Linked DNA regions of Tamandua tetradactyla. The protein of the gene in region 1 purifies or fractionates together with the protein of each later gene. This does not show direct contact. Links are inferred from orthologs where the notes say so. Each region holds a gene or a part of one and is shown on either strand. Other genes may lie near its edges.

Region 1 (7,131 bases):
ACAGCTCACACAGTGGTTTTGAGGTACCAGGAACTATTATTCTAGCACTTTACCTGTAATCATTCATCTAATTCTCACAACATGCTTATGGGGCAAATAATATTCTCCCCCATATTACACATGAGAAAATTGAGGCACAGAGAGGTTCAATAACTTGCCCAAGTTAACACGGATTAAAATCTAAACCCTTAACCAAGGCTTAGAACTCCCCACCCTCAGGTCTTTGAGTGGCTGCCTCTGTCTTATCTGTTCGGTTTCAGTACAAATGTCACCTCCTCGGAGAGTACTTCCTTGGTTATTCGATTTAAAGTACATCCTCCTCTTTCATTGCTTTACATCACTTGTTGTTTTATGAAATTATCTTATTTATTCACTTTCCTACATACTTGCTTATATCTGGCACAGGATGTGTAGTAGCTCAACAAACATTTGCTAAGATAAATGGAGGGAGAGAGGGAAAGATAGGGTTCCCTGAGCTCCTTCAATAGCACCCCCATTCCACAATGAGAATGAGAACAGTGTCGTAGGAGAAGTGGGAATGGAGGGCGGAAGGAAGGGTGATGAAGAGAGAGCTTGGAAAGGCACTAAGAGGATGGAACCTGCCAAGGTGCAATCAGGCCAGACCCCACACTCATCCAGGAGAGTGCTTCCCTGATTAGGGTTGCCAGACTGAGCAAATAAAAATACAAGGAGATATTTTTTTTTAGCCTTTTTTTGGGGGGAAGAGTGCATGGTTCGGAAATCAAACCCGGGTCTCCCGCATGGAAGGTGGGTATTCTAACCACTGAACTACCCGTTCACCCTGGGAGATTTTAAAAAATATACAAATATTAATCCCACGAATTATTTGGGACATTCTTATACTAGAAAAAAAATGATCTGGTTGCTTATCAGGAATTGTAATTTACCTGGGTGTTATGTATTTTACCTGGCAGCCCTATCCCTGATGCTCACTGTGTGCTAAGTTCCATGGGAGATTCCACTGAGCACTCACCTGCTTTTTTTTTTTATATATACGGAACATTTTGTTTCTAACTCCTGAATAAGTAAGTGCAACCTCTTTATTGTTCTAACTGAAAAAGAAAGTCTGTGGAAACAGAAGCTTGTTACAGGAGAATGGATCCCGGGAGTGGATAATTGCCCAGTGAGGAGAGGTTAAGACAAGTGCCTTGTGCTGAGCTCAAAGAAGTCTTTCAGAACCTTCTTATTCCTTCTCCGGTGGAGAGGGTTATCTATCTATCACTCTGGGGCAGCTGAAGAGGGCAGGAAGACAGTGGCTCAGTCTGGGAGGAAAAGATTTATGGGACTGTGGGCATATCTGGTGAATCGTTCATTCATTCCGACTGTCCAAGCAGCCGTGGCAGGAATGCTCAGATGAATGACACCAGGCACAGTTCTGGAGGCTCTTTGGAAGTCAGAGCAGGGAAGATGGCTTTGGAAATCATTACCACCAAGTGACGCATGCTTCCAAATCGGTTTTCATGGCTCGATGGAAAGAGTGCATGTCTTCCTCCTTACCTGTTCTTTCTTTCTCTCTCTCTCTCTCTCTCTCTCTCTCTCTCTCTCTCTCTCTCTCTCGCCTTTCTTGCCTTCTTCTATCCTTTTCTATCCTTCCCTCTCACCTGTCCTCCTACCTTTTCCCATCTCTTCTCTCTCTTCTCTCTCCCTCTCTCACCTTCTGCAACTTCTCTCTCCAAACCCACCCCACTACCCGCTGTATCCCAAACCAGCCAACATCTTTCCACGCAGCCTAGAGTTCATTTGCATGCTCTTTTCCGATTGGCTGAGACAAATTCACTGCCACACCTCCTCATCCCCTGCCCCCTCCAGGTTCCTTCCTGTTGGAGCCCCAGGAGGTCCAAGGTCTTGGGATCCCCAGGCTCAGTCCTGCCCTGCAGCCCTGTCTACTCAGTTATTCTTCAATCAAGTGTCCATTCTGGTTTGAGATTAAAAGAGCTAGGTTCAAGGCTGGGCTCTGCCACTGACGAAGCTGTGTGATCTTGAATGATTCCCTTTGCCTCTCTGAGACTCAGTTCCTAGGTCTATAATATGGAAATAATCCTCATGAAGAAGTCCTTATGAGAATATTTTTGTAATGGTTAATGTGAACCCCCACGTCAGACTGCCTGGGTTCAAATCTCTCCTCTTCCACTCCCCAGAAGGGTGTCCTGGTTACCTCCATTTCCTCATTTTGTTGGAGAGAGTCTTAAATGTCAGTATATTTAAAAACACTTAAAATAGCTTCTTGCCTACAGGGCCTAATAATGTCAACTTTATTGTAATGCATGTTAAAGTCTTTTGTCCAAATGCTGCTGATGACATTATCATTGCCCCATGAACATTTGGAGGTAGGCTGTTAAAAACTCACTGGAGTATAGGTTCCTTATGAAGAAAGCCCAAAGGAGTGAAGCCAAGGTTTATCCTTTTGAGCCTCTATATTCTGGACTGTAAAATGGCAATAACAACCTCACCTCTGCCTACTCCACAGGAAAGTAGTAGAGTCTGGCCATGGTAAGCTCTTAAAATGTATTTGTTGAAAGAAGGAATGCATGGACCACATGAGGTGACAGTGGCAAGCTGCAGAGTCTTGTCCTTAGCTCGGCCCTGAACGATGTGTCTGTGCTGATTTGCTATCCTCCAGGCATGACGCAACGGAGGCCTAACTAAGGTAGTGTATGAAGGCAGAGCTGAGCACGCTGATGATGCTAAGTTGGTGAGCTGGTCAGGGCTTTGCATTTGGATAAAGGTGCTCTCAAACACTATTATGAGAGTGTAAATATATTAGTGTAGTCTTTTTGGACAATCATTTAGCAGTAGCTATCACAATTTTAAAAGAACACACAATTGTTCTACTAGTTCTATTTTTAGAAAACCATCCCCCAGATAGCTTTCCCCAAGTGTGCCAAGATTATATAGAGGAATGCATTCATTGCAGTTCTTTGTAGCAGTGAAAAACTGGAAACAACCTAAATGTCCCTCAATATAAGAGTAGTTAGGTAAATTTTGGTGCGTTGATATTATGGACTATGCAACCATTAAAAAGAATGAGGCAAATCTATATGTACTAACATGGAGAAATCGCAAGATGCATGATGAAGTAAACAAGTTAACAGAGTTATGCTTTTAATCTAACATTTGTTAGGGAGAGTATCAATGTTTGTACCTGCATAGGAGATATCTGGAGGGCTATATGCCAACTTTTAGTAGGGTTATCTTTTAAGAGAAGGAAGAACTTCTAAATCAAAATTTTGATTTGAATGGAAGAGCGAGCCCCACCTTCAAAGTTCAGAGGTCAGATTTGGAGTCGTCATCCCAAATCTGTGTGTGACTCAAGGAAACTTCCGTTGTTCTTTTGAACTGTAGCTCTGTCTTGTGTGAACTGATAATGATAACACGACCTTCCAGTGCTGTGATAGCGGTGAAAAGAAATAATGGATATGAAAACCCCTGAGCAGACATAGATTCTCATAGCTATCACGGAGAACGACCCGAAGCAAGAGGGATGAGCTTAGCCCTTGAAAGATTTGGGAAGGCTTGGATTTGGCTTATTACGGTTTCTAGAAGCCCTTTCCCAGCGTTCAATGGACATTCATTTATCAAGGCTCTGGGACTCTGTGCTTTTTTTTTTTTTGAATTTTAAAAATTTTAATACAGTTCAAATCAGCATGTCTCGTTCATTTCAACTCCTTCACCGCCAAACCTGGGGGCAGGGATTGCTTCAGTTTCTCTGCCTTCTCTTTGTCTGTGATGACCAAGGTATAAGGGTACCTGCTGCATCGAACTTTAAATTTCACATTATCCTTATTTTTCTTGATCTTGACAGATTTGGCATCTTTTCGCCTGGCTGTGAGCAGGAAGTCCTTGATTTCCTCAATTTTCCGAGGCATGGTGACGAGGCGCGCAGGAAGGCGGGCGGGACCGGCACAGCCCAAGATAAGAAGCAAGAACCGGATTCTGTGCTTTTAAACGACTCACCTTTTTCTATCATAAGCTACCAAATGAGCCTGGCGCATGCGCAGTGCGAGTACCTTGAACTGCCCTCCGCCCACGTACTACAACTCCCGGCAGGCTCCGCGCACCCCTCAGGCGTGTCGCAGGCTGATGACGTAGCGCAGTAGCGCGGGGAATTTCGAGCGGTAGTGCATCGCCGGAGGCCCTTGGGCGGCTGGCCCCCACACTCCTCTGGAGCTACCATGGACAGCTTGGCCGAGCCCCGGTGGCCTTCGGGCCTGGCAGTTATGAAGGTAGATGCTCGGAGAGGGAGGAAGCGCCCGGGGGTCAGCAGGAGGCCGGGTCCGCCTTGAGGGGAAAGGAGGAGGCGGCAAGCCCCGCTTGGGTTCCCCGCCCTGCCCGCCTCTTATTGCCCGCGAACCCTAAGGCCCCAGTTTCTACTGAGAAGCGGCGGGGAAAGGCCTCGGTTCCTTACGGTGAACTGAGGTCGGCCGTCGTATGGAACTGGGTATTTTGCGGTTCTTCCTCAACAGTAACAGTAACATCGAGTAAGATACTCTGAACAGTGGCGATGACAGTGACAGCTTACGCTTTTTGAGGGCTTACTCTGTGCCAAGCACTATTTAAGAGCTAGCAATACGTTAATTGAGAATTCCCAGAGTGACACCGGGCATGCTTTTCAATGGGCACTACACCAAATAGCATATATTTAATCACTGGCGAAGCAGGTAGTCTCCTTTGCACTCTGATTTCTTCTGATAATTCTCAGGAGGCTTAGTGCTGGTTTGTTCTAACGTCTCCTAACTCCTATCTAACAATTGTTCATCTTTCTTCTGTTTTAAAGAGATCAGGACTCAGGCTCAGCTCCAGCCTTTAACAAATCACTTTTATTTCGTTGGTTGCATTTCCTTTTTTAGTTGTTCTATGGTTATATCTCTAGGAAAGACCATCTTTTTGCTCCTGTTCATTAATTTTCTCATTTATATTATGGAAATTATGGTGTCTCCCCCACTGACTGGTGAAGCTGACTTTGAGGGTCAAGTGAAGGGACTTGGGAAAGGCTAAAGTAAGTAAAAAGTTGTGTTCTTCCTGCTGTCAGCAGAAACATTTGCAGTGTCTGGGGACTTGAGATATCATCACTGTACAGATGGTGAAGACCTGATGTTGTGGAAGGATCTAGGAAAGTTGTTTTGAAGTTGTAGTGGCCTTAGCACCAAGATCCACTGGAGAAGGGCATAGATTTTGAGTTCCAATTGTCTGGTTAAATCTGGACTCTCCCTTATATTATTAACTAGGTGAGCTTGAGTTATTTAACCTCTCTGAGCCTCAGTTTCTTCAAGTATAAACTGGAGACAAAAATAGCCATTAAAAGAGTTGAGAAATGTGGGTAAGGATCCTATCTAGTTTGTTCACTGTACTTTTAACACAGTGCCTGGCCCATGGTGGGTGCTCAACAGTTATTTGTTGACTGCTCGAAGGTGTCTAGTATGTACTTGTGCTAAGCATTCAGTTAATATATCTTTATTATTATTATGAGTGCTTAACGTGTGTTCTATGTCTTTCCTTCTTTCCCCCTTTTATTTGTTGTAAAGATTGAATTAGAGAAGTGAGCGTTCTGTAACCTGTAACTCTACCTGCTTTGTAGATTTGAACATATTTTATGCTTTCTCACAACTCCACATTATTCTTTACAGGTAGGTTTCTTGTCTTCTCTGGCTTTTCACAGCAAGAATATAGAGTTTAGCAGCAGAGTGTTCAATTATGGGCTTGACTGAGCTCAAATTTAGCTCTCATTAGAATCATGGAATCTTAAGCCAGTCCCCTCCAGTATTTTAATTCCTATTATAATGTATCTGCCAATTTCTCATCTGATTTTTGCTTGAACTCCTCCAGGGGCAAAAAACTAGTTGCTCCCAGAGGCAGCCCTGATCGTTTGAAGTTCTTTCTTATATTAAATAGAAATCTGACTCTGAACCCATGATTCCTAACCTAACCTGGAATCTGTGAAAAGAATTTGATATCTGGAAATACTTCTAAAATTCTTGTGCATAGATATATTTCTTTCCTAGGAGAGAGTCCATAATTTTCAAAGGAATCTGCGATCCTCCCCCCCAAACTTAAGAACCTTTTTGCTTGAATTATTAAGTCATTTTCACCTGATTCCTACTTTCTCTTTCTTCTTTCTCTAAGCTAAAGAAATCCTGGGACATCCACTGACCACTCTCTGTTTAGGCTTTTTTTTTCTTGCAGCACATATGATATACATGCTCCTGTCTAGAAGTGGCATGATTGGACATTTGTACAAAAATACCACAGCTCCTCTGATGTGTTGTCACCGTCTACACATCTTGTTTGGCAGTTCTGTCAGAACCGGTCCTCCAGAAGAGGATGGTCATGTAGAATAAAGATTCACAGACTAGATGCTGGACTCTTTCTTCTGGTCCTGCCTCTACTCTTAATATGAAGAGCAGTAAGCCTCTAGCTTTTTGCGTCTGTGGCAGCTTGGCATGCATAAGAATGGAAGATTTAGGCATTTTTATGTTTATTTCTCTGATTTTACTGTAAGAAAAATTTACTGTTATTGACAGATTATCAATGTAACATGTGTACTTAGTAGAAAAAATTTAAAATTCAGAGAAAGGTAAAGAAGAAAATGGAATTTACTCATAATCCCACCATCCAGAGATAACCACTGTTAAATGTTTTGTCTTACTTCCCTTCAGTTTTTCTTGTGTGTGCTTATGTACACAGATGCACCAATGTGCATTTAAAATTATGAATCACTTTGGAGCCAGTTCCTTGGGCTTTATCCAACCACTTATTAGTTCATCTGTAATACTAGGAAACTGAAACAACAAACTTCATTTATAGAGATAAATGACAGTATTATTATTTTGCATTATTGTGGTCAATTTTTTTCTCTGCTTTTGTTTGTTTCCATTAAAGTGTGAACATTTTCATATGGCAATAATTATTCTTTGAAAGCATGATTTTTTAAATGGATATCTAGTGTTTCATCATTTAGATTATTAGTATCAGGGTGCTTTTGTTTATCTTTTTAAAATCTTAAGTAGTACACTTACATGATTCAAAAAATATATAAAATAAAAAGTAAAAGTAAAAGTCTTCCTCTCACTCATGTCTAGTTCCCACTCCCCCACCATTATTTCTTTCATGTTT
Region 2 (7,744 bases), on another chromosome or scaffold:
GGGGCACTGGGAAAGAGGAGATCTGAGAGTCTAGTCGGTGCTAAACAACAAAGATAGCAGAATTTGTGTCCTTGTTCCCATCCAGATTCTCCCCTCCTGTCCCAACCATTACTTTTCTCTTGATGGCATATTTTTTAAAACTAATTTTGCCAATATAGACTCAGGACACTAAGGAATAGGAACATTATGGGGAAATCTACTGAAGCTTATGACTCCAAGTCACATTTATTATGCAGTTTTGAGACATGCAAGTAAACTATTCTCTGAATATTACAAGGGCCACTGTTACATGCCAGTTTTAAGTACGAAAGTAGTGCTATAACACTTTCCTGCCAGGGCTTTAAAGGAGAAATAGACTTGAAGAAGTGATTGGTCTCCTCAGTATCTGTATCTTCTCCTAATGTGGCCGACATAGGACTGTGGGTCCTATGAAGCCAGCTCAGACCACCCTCAGCTGGGGACACCCTGCCTTTATCTCCTCCCTCATAACAAAAACTACTCTCCACCCCCAAAGAAAGACCAAGTGTCAAATGCATGGCTGTCTCACGACCGTACCAATGGCAGCACTCATGTTCATCAGGGCCCAATAACGACCGTGCAAACTCAGTCTGTAAGGGATCATTGTGGTTTTATGATGCCAAGGAAATGACCCTTCCCCAGCACTGACCACTTGTGGACTCTCAGAGACTTCGAATGGATAGTCACATGTATCAGACAGATGCCTCCAAATTTTAAGTTAATTCAAAGGTCTTTGGAAAAACATGGACTGTCTTAAAAATATTAATTTTGAGATATTAATCTTAAAAAATCAGTCATCATTGCAAACATCTTTGAACTAATATCTTAAGACATTCCAGGTATTTTATCAATGCCGAAAAGTTTCCCAAAGTATCATCTACAGTATGACTACTCAATGAAGAGTTTTGTCAAACAATATTGTGTTTGCTAAAGCCTATATTTGTGTTTTATTTTCCATTTATTTTCATGATTGATGTTGGCATTTTTAAGGTAATAAATGGGTTTCCAGGAATGGAGGCCTAGCTTTAAACACTGAGGATACAGGAAAAAAGTGATTTCTATGAGCTTGATTTTTAACCATCCAGGAACCAATTAGGTCATATGTTGAGGACCACCTGCTCAAGTGAGGCTCAAACATCTGTCCTTGAATTGGTTTCATAACAATTACCTGAGATGGTTGGAATTCAAAAAAAAAAAAAATTTCCCAGGAGCTAGCAGTCAAGGTGGAAGCATTATGACATATGGACGTATGCTACTACTGCACATTTGTACCTAAGGGCCCAGCAAGGAGTTCAGGACTTTCTAGAATAATTTTGCCTTTGTCACAAGAATTGACATCACCAACATGGCCATGCTGAGTCTGAATCTGGCATCAACCTTCTCGTGGACAGTCCTTCATTCCTTGGTAAGCATAGTTTTATGTTTACACTTATCAATAAGCTGCCTTGAGGTTTTAGAGTCATTTTGAAAGTGTTACATCACTACTTTTGTACTTAAAAATAGCATACAGCGTGGCCCCCAAAATATTTAAAGAACGTTTTATTCATAGATCTTGAAACTGCATGATAAATGTTTGAGTTAGAAGCATCAATAGATTTACCCACAATATCCCTATTCGTTAATGTCTTGAGTCTATATTGACAAAATTAGTTAGAAAAAAATATGATATCGGGGAAAAAGTATGGTTGGGGAAAGGAAGGGAGGGCCTGGGATGGGTCCAAGGATGCAGATTATGCTATTTGTTGCTTATGACTGATCTTTTCTTTCCTTGCAGACGCAGATTCAAGTTTCTCCTTGCTTTCACCAGATTTACAAGCATTGCTTTATTAACACCCAAAACAGATACCTAGGAAGGAACAGTAAATTCTCTGCTTATGTCATTAGTTCACATCCAATGTGGCATTCTGTATACACATTACACATTTTTGCCTTAGAAATTATGAGAGGCAGAAGGGACACAGCTTGAGTTTTCAGTTTGCAGGTTGAGCTTGCAGCAGGGGATTTCTAAATAAATCTGACCTGCAAATCACCAAGGAAGAATACAATTGGAAGCCGACAGTGAGACCCACCCAGGGCTAGCCTGGAGCAAAGCTGTGATGTTCAGAACAGGAGGATTTGTTCTTAGGTCACACACCTCCTGCTCTACAATTGCACCTGCTCCCGCAAAGCATGCCTGATGCCCTAACACCTTTTTTTTTTTTGGCCTGACACCACTCTTTCACCAGTTGATCACCTTCCCTGCAGGCACCAATTTTTCAAAACCTTATTTTGACCTCCCTTCCCATTAGCACTGCACACATTTTATCAGGGGCTCTGGACACAGCAGTTCATCTCGGAACAGCGACTTTGACCTGACACTTTCATTTGTTGGGCAGGAGGGAAAGCAGTCCCAAGACAGGCTGGTCATCAGTGACACTGGATGGCCACCTGCCTCACTTGTAGAGAGCAGGGAATAAGCATATATGTAATAAAATTTTCAAGCAATTTATTGATGATCTTCCTATTGAGCAGAACACATGGCTGGGACTGAATGTGTCACCAAATAATTGCACACCTCTTACCTTCTTCTTGCTCATGCCAACCTAGAAAGATAAACGACTAGATTATTTATCTTGATTTGAGAGGCAGCACAATTTAGTATTAAGAGGCAATGAACAGCCTAGACAGGGGAGTCAAGGTGAGATGTAGGGCCCGCTGTTTTCTTAACTGTGACCAAATCATCAAATTTCTCTGTGCTTCAAATTCTTCTGTAAAATGGAAATTTAAAATGTCCCATTTAGTGTTCTAAGAATCACACGGGAAAGGAACTATGAAAGGGCTTTGCAAACAGAAATCCATTAGTTATCACCTGCTTCTGCCTCCAAGATGAATTCATTTTGCACTAACCCATCTACTCCCTCTCCAGAACAACTTACAACATCCATTTGTAAAACAGATGAATTGAACCTGGGGGTGGTGAGAATAAAATGTACTGTCCTCAAGAGACTGGAGCAATAGTTTTGGCCTAGTGAAACCACGCAGAACGCAAGGGGACTGACCACCTACACTGGTCTGAAACTGTTGTGTATGCCAGAAAAGTCATATTCTTTAGACCTCATTCAATATTATTGGGTGGGATCTTTTTATTGTTTCTTTGGCTATGTGACCCACCCATTTGTGGGTGGTACCTTTTGATTAGGTGGTTTCCATAGACATGTGTCTCACTCATTCAAGGTGGGGTTAAGAGTCCTTTAAGAGGGAACCATTTTGGAAAAAGCAGCAGAGTCCAGAGTTAGAGACCTTTGGAAATGCAAAAGGAAAACGCCCCTGGGGAATCCTTATTAAATGAGAGGCCAGGAGAGAAAGTTAGCAGATGTTGCCCTTTGCCTTTCCAGCTGACAGAGGTGCTCTGGACGGTATGAGCCTTTCTAGAGTGGAGGTAACTTCTTCTTAGTGCCTTAAAAAGGACATTTTCACTGCCTTACAACTGTAAACTTGCAACTTAATAAATTCCCTTTTAAAAAGCCATTCCATTTCTGTTATACAGCCTCCTGGCAGCTTTAAGAAAGTAAAACACCACCCTACGTTTATACTTTCAAGAAGTTGTTGAACTGTATGAACAGTGAAGGGTTCACCGAGATGGGTTTGCTTCCAATCAACTGCTCCCTGGCTGCTGAATGCCATGATCGCCAGCATCTTTCCGTGCATGAACCCAGCGGTTCGCCAGGGTGAACAGCATGTCTGGCAGCTGGAGAGTGCCGAGGGAGCCAGCAGGCACGCTGGAAAAGCATTTTTTGAAATCAGGTCTGGTGATTTTAATACTGAGACATTACTCCACAGAGGATATTTTCAAAGGATTCAACGTATCATTAGACGATCGCAAAGGGGAGATTTGTTTCGTCTTGCCCACCGCATGCTCTGTAGAATTTCATCTCCATCGGATGGTCCTTTGGATTCCTGCACAGGATTACGGAGCTGTGTCTAGACTATCTTAGAAATGAGCAAAGATGAAATGATGCACTGCTTAATATTCCTGCCTGGCCAAACTGTGAGCCCAATTCTCTGCTCCCGTAGTGGGAACTGATATAAAAACGATAAAATAAATAAATAAAAATAACCTTCTACAGCACAATATATCCGTTTAAATACTGCGGTTAAATCACATTTCCAGGGGAAAAAAGGCTCCACGTGGCTTCTGCTTGCACAGGGACCTGCTCTCCCGGGAGAAGGACTCTGCTTCCTGGGGGGCCTGGGGGTGGGATGGGACGGCCCCGGGGAGACCCCAGGGAGCCCCGGAGCGCCCTAGGCGAGCCCTGCTTGAACTTTGCACGAGCCTCACCGACTTTTCGGGCGGGGTGAGTCCACGCCCCAGCGATGGGAGCGGCCCGAGCTCGCCCAGGGACACAGGGGTGGACACCGCTTCCGGCCGGGCCCCCGCGTGCGTCGGCGGGACGTCCCGAGAGGCGGGGCCGGTGGACAGAGCGCCCCTGCGTCCGAGCGGCGGCTCCTCCCTCCTCATTAAGGCCATCAACCGCACGCCGTCGCTCCGCGCCCCGCCACGCCCACCTGCGCGGAGGCCCCGCCTATACCCGCCCCGAGCCGGCTCCTCGGCTCCTTCCAATCCGCTACTCCCAATGGCGTGGCCCGGTGCTATCGCGAGACCTCGGCAGTATTCCGAGAGTGTGGCTGGCCATGCGCACTTGCGCAGAAGCGGCTCCTGAGGCCACTGAGGGAGGAAGAAGGTGTGGCGTCCGACGTGCGCGTCCACCTGACCCGGCGCTCCCGCGCGCGCCCAGCAGCCGGAGCTGGGGTTTCCGGGACCCCCGGGCCCTGGCCCGAAGCTTCACAAGCGTGCCCATCCGGCGGACATCAGGGGTCGGCGAGCGCGAGCCCGGGGCCCGCGGCGCCTCGGAGGGCCCGGCCTGGTGCGGTGAGGCCTGAGCGGCTTGGAGCATCCGCTAGGTAGGCGCTGGGGTGACGGGGTCAGGGGTCAGAGGTCGGGGGAGGCCGGGAGGAGGCCAGGACTGGGACTCGGGTTGTCCCTGGCCGGGGAAGCCACAGGGAGGGGAGGGCGTCGCCGCGCGAGCTCTCACCCGTCCCGATCGCGGGGGCGCGGGCCCTGGGAGGGAAAGCGGGTCGCGGGGGGGGGGCCGTGCTCCTTCCCGTCCTGCCCGGGACGCCGGGCCGTGCTGCTCGCCGGGTTAGGGAGCAGCTGCGAGGAGCCGAGCACGAGCGCTCCCGCGAGGCGGAACCGGCCTGCGAGGTAGCGAGGCCGCCCGCCGGCACCGGGTGCTGCACCCCAAAGCCAGAGCCGGCGGGGTGGCCCCGAGGCACGGCCCAGTGCGGAGGGACGCGGCCTCCTCCGGTTTTCGCCGTCCTTAAAGAGCATCCCTCAAGCCCGCGCCCTCCCAAGTGACCGCACCGTCCGGCAGGTGGGAGGCCCAGATGTTGGCTGTTTTCCCACGTGTGCTCAACTTGAAACTTTAGCTGAAAAAGATAAAACCTTTGTAAGTCATTGCAGCAATCTTTATTCCAGTGGATGATGGCAGGAGTGACAGAACTCCATGCATAGAAATGATTCATAAAACCTGGATTGTCACCAAACAGACGATTTGATTTTGACATGACTGAGTTGGACGCAGGGAAGAGGTGAGGGGCCTGGCTCGGTGTGCCTGTGCTGTGACCTGGGGTGGGACCCAGTGCCAGCACCCTGGGGTGGGACCCCGTGCCGGAACCCCAGACCCTGTGCCAGCACCCTGGGGTGGGACCCTATGCCAGCACCCCGGGGGTGAGACCCCGTGCCAGGACCCTGTGCCAGCACCCTGGAGTAGGACCCTGTGCCGGGACCCTGTGCCAGCACCCTGGGGTGGGACCCCATGCCGGGACCCTGTGCCAGCACCCTGGAGTAGGACCCCGTGCCAGCACCCTGGGGTGGGACCCCCTGCCGGGGCCCTATGCCAGCACCTGGGGGTGAGACCCCCTGCCGGGGCCCTATGCCAGCACCTGGGGTGAGACCCCATGCCGGGACCCTGTGCCAGCACCCTGGAGTAGGACCCCGTGCCAGCACCCTGGGATGAGACCCCATGCTGGGACCCTGTGCCAGCACCTTGGAGTAGGACCCCGTGCTGGGACCCCATGCCAGCACCCTGGAGTAGGACCCCGTGCCAGCACCCTGTGCCAGCACCCTGGAGTAGAACCCCGTGCCGGGACCCTGTGCCAGCACCTTGGAGTAGGACCCCGTGCTGGGACCCCATGCCAGCACCCTGGAGTAGGACCCCGTGCCAGCACCCTGTGCCAGCACCCTGGAGTAGAACCCCGTGCCGGGACCCTGTGCCAGCACCTTGGAGTAGGACCCCGTGCCGGGACCCCGTGCCAGCACCCTGGGGTGAGACCCCATGCCGGGACTCTGTGCCAGCACCTTGGAGTAGGACCCCGTGCTGGGACCCCATGCCAGCACCCTGGGGTGGGACCCTGTGCTGGAACCCTACGCCCCTGGAGCAGGGATGGAGCATAGAATGCCTGGGACCAGTGAGCTTACAGGCTGCAGAATAGAATGCTTTACTTGTGAAAATAGTATTACATAGCCCTCTTTTTGCCAGCCTGAAAGAATTGTATTTATAGTATTATCTAACAAATCAGGTATGAAGAACTAGGCCAGAAATATTTGGGGGAACAGAACCTTCTGGTATAAAAGCTTGTGGTGAGGGCCTGTATTTCAGGGTTCAGTGGTGAACTTGCTGTCACCCGGCTGGAGTTGTCTGCTGTGTGCTGCCCCATGCATTTCTCCTGTGTGGCCTCGTGGAAACAGTGTGGCAGGCGCCGCTAATGCCCTTGACAGACCAGCCCCGGCAGGCAGCACTTGTGTGATTCAGGATGTTTATGTCTGTTTAACAAGAGATAATACTTCGGAATTTAAGTTTAATTGGTGTCCATTTGTTGCATTGTCTTGGTAACATTTTATTTATTCTTCTGGCAGTCTGTCTTTGTTTTCTGTGAAACAAAGATACAGGTGAGTTAGTTCTCTGTCTCACTTTGGGCCAGTTACAGGAAGGAATGGTTTCACATCACCTGCAGTCTTCCAGAGTGTGGCTGAGGGAGGCTCCCCCAGAAGAAATGTGAGCACAGTCTTGCTGGGGCATTGGCTGGGAAGTGAGAGGTCTTCATTTGCCTCAATCAAGTGCCATTCGTCAGCTGGCATGGCCCTGGCGTTGGGGCACCACTCCCAGTGCCGTTCCCGCCTGGCCCCCAAGTGGGCCAGTGCCCACAGCTCTGGGGCCCAGAAGGAGGGCCCCGACACAGCTCCCCTGGTCTGGAGGGCTTTCCAGGGAAGACCAGGGCAGCAATCGGCAGAAAAGAGCGAAGGGGCATTTCAGGCAGAAGGCATCCTGCGTTTACATGCAGAGGGTAAGCGTGTGGCCCATGAACAGAGTTGCACATGCCACATGCACCTGACGTTCAAGGTGATGTTCTCAGGGTGTGGTTCATGAGACATGAGGAAAAGTAGGAGAAAGATGCGGAAGGTGATTCGAGATAGAGAATTCTCCAGGACTCAGCCTATTAGTGCCAGTTAACATCACAGTTACAAGCCACTTTGTCCAAGTAATATCTTCTTTAGTTCAAGAGGTTGTCCCTGGAGACTTCCTGGAAGATGGCGGCTTAGTAAGACGCGCGGATCTTAGTTTCTTCTCCAGGACACCTACTAGAGGAGTAGAAACGATACAGAAAGCGCCCAAAGCCACAACAGAGA

What was found.
Region 2: the proteins of RAD18 (region 1) and SHPRH purify together in Homo sapiens (affinity purification with western blotting; 3 studies listed by BioGRID and IntAct, with this or other methods). This does not show direct contact. The link is inferred for Tamandua tetradactyla from reciprocal best matches to the Homo sapiens genes RAD18 and SHPRH.

Annotation. Positions count from the first base shown.
Region 1 is NC_135335.1:40,212,079-40,219,209, forward strand, and holds the start of RAD18 (E3 ubiquitin-protein ligase RAD18), read left to right. Parts: upstream 1-4,114; 5' UTR 4,115-4,193; coding exon 4,194-4,244; intron 4,245-7,131. UniProt on the Homo sapiens protein: E3 ubiquitin-protein ligase involved in postreplication repair of UV-damaged DNA. Postreplication repair functions in gap-filling of a daughter strand on replication of damaged DNA.
Region 2 is NC_135351.1:44,907,663-44,915,406, reverse strand, and holds the start of SHPRH (E3 ubiquitin-protein ligase SHPRH), read left to right. Parts: upstream 1-4,719; 5' UTR 4,720-4,959; intron 4,960-7,744. UniProt on the Homo sapiens protein: E3 ubiquitin-protein ligase involved in DNA repair.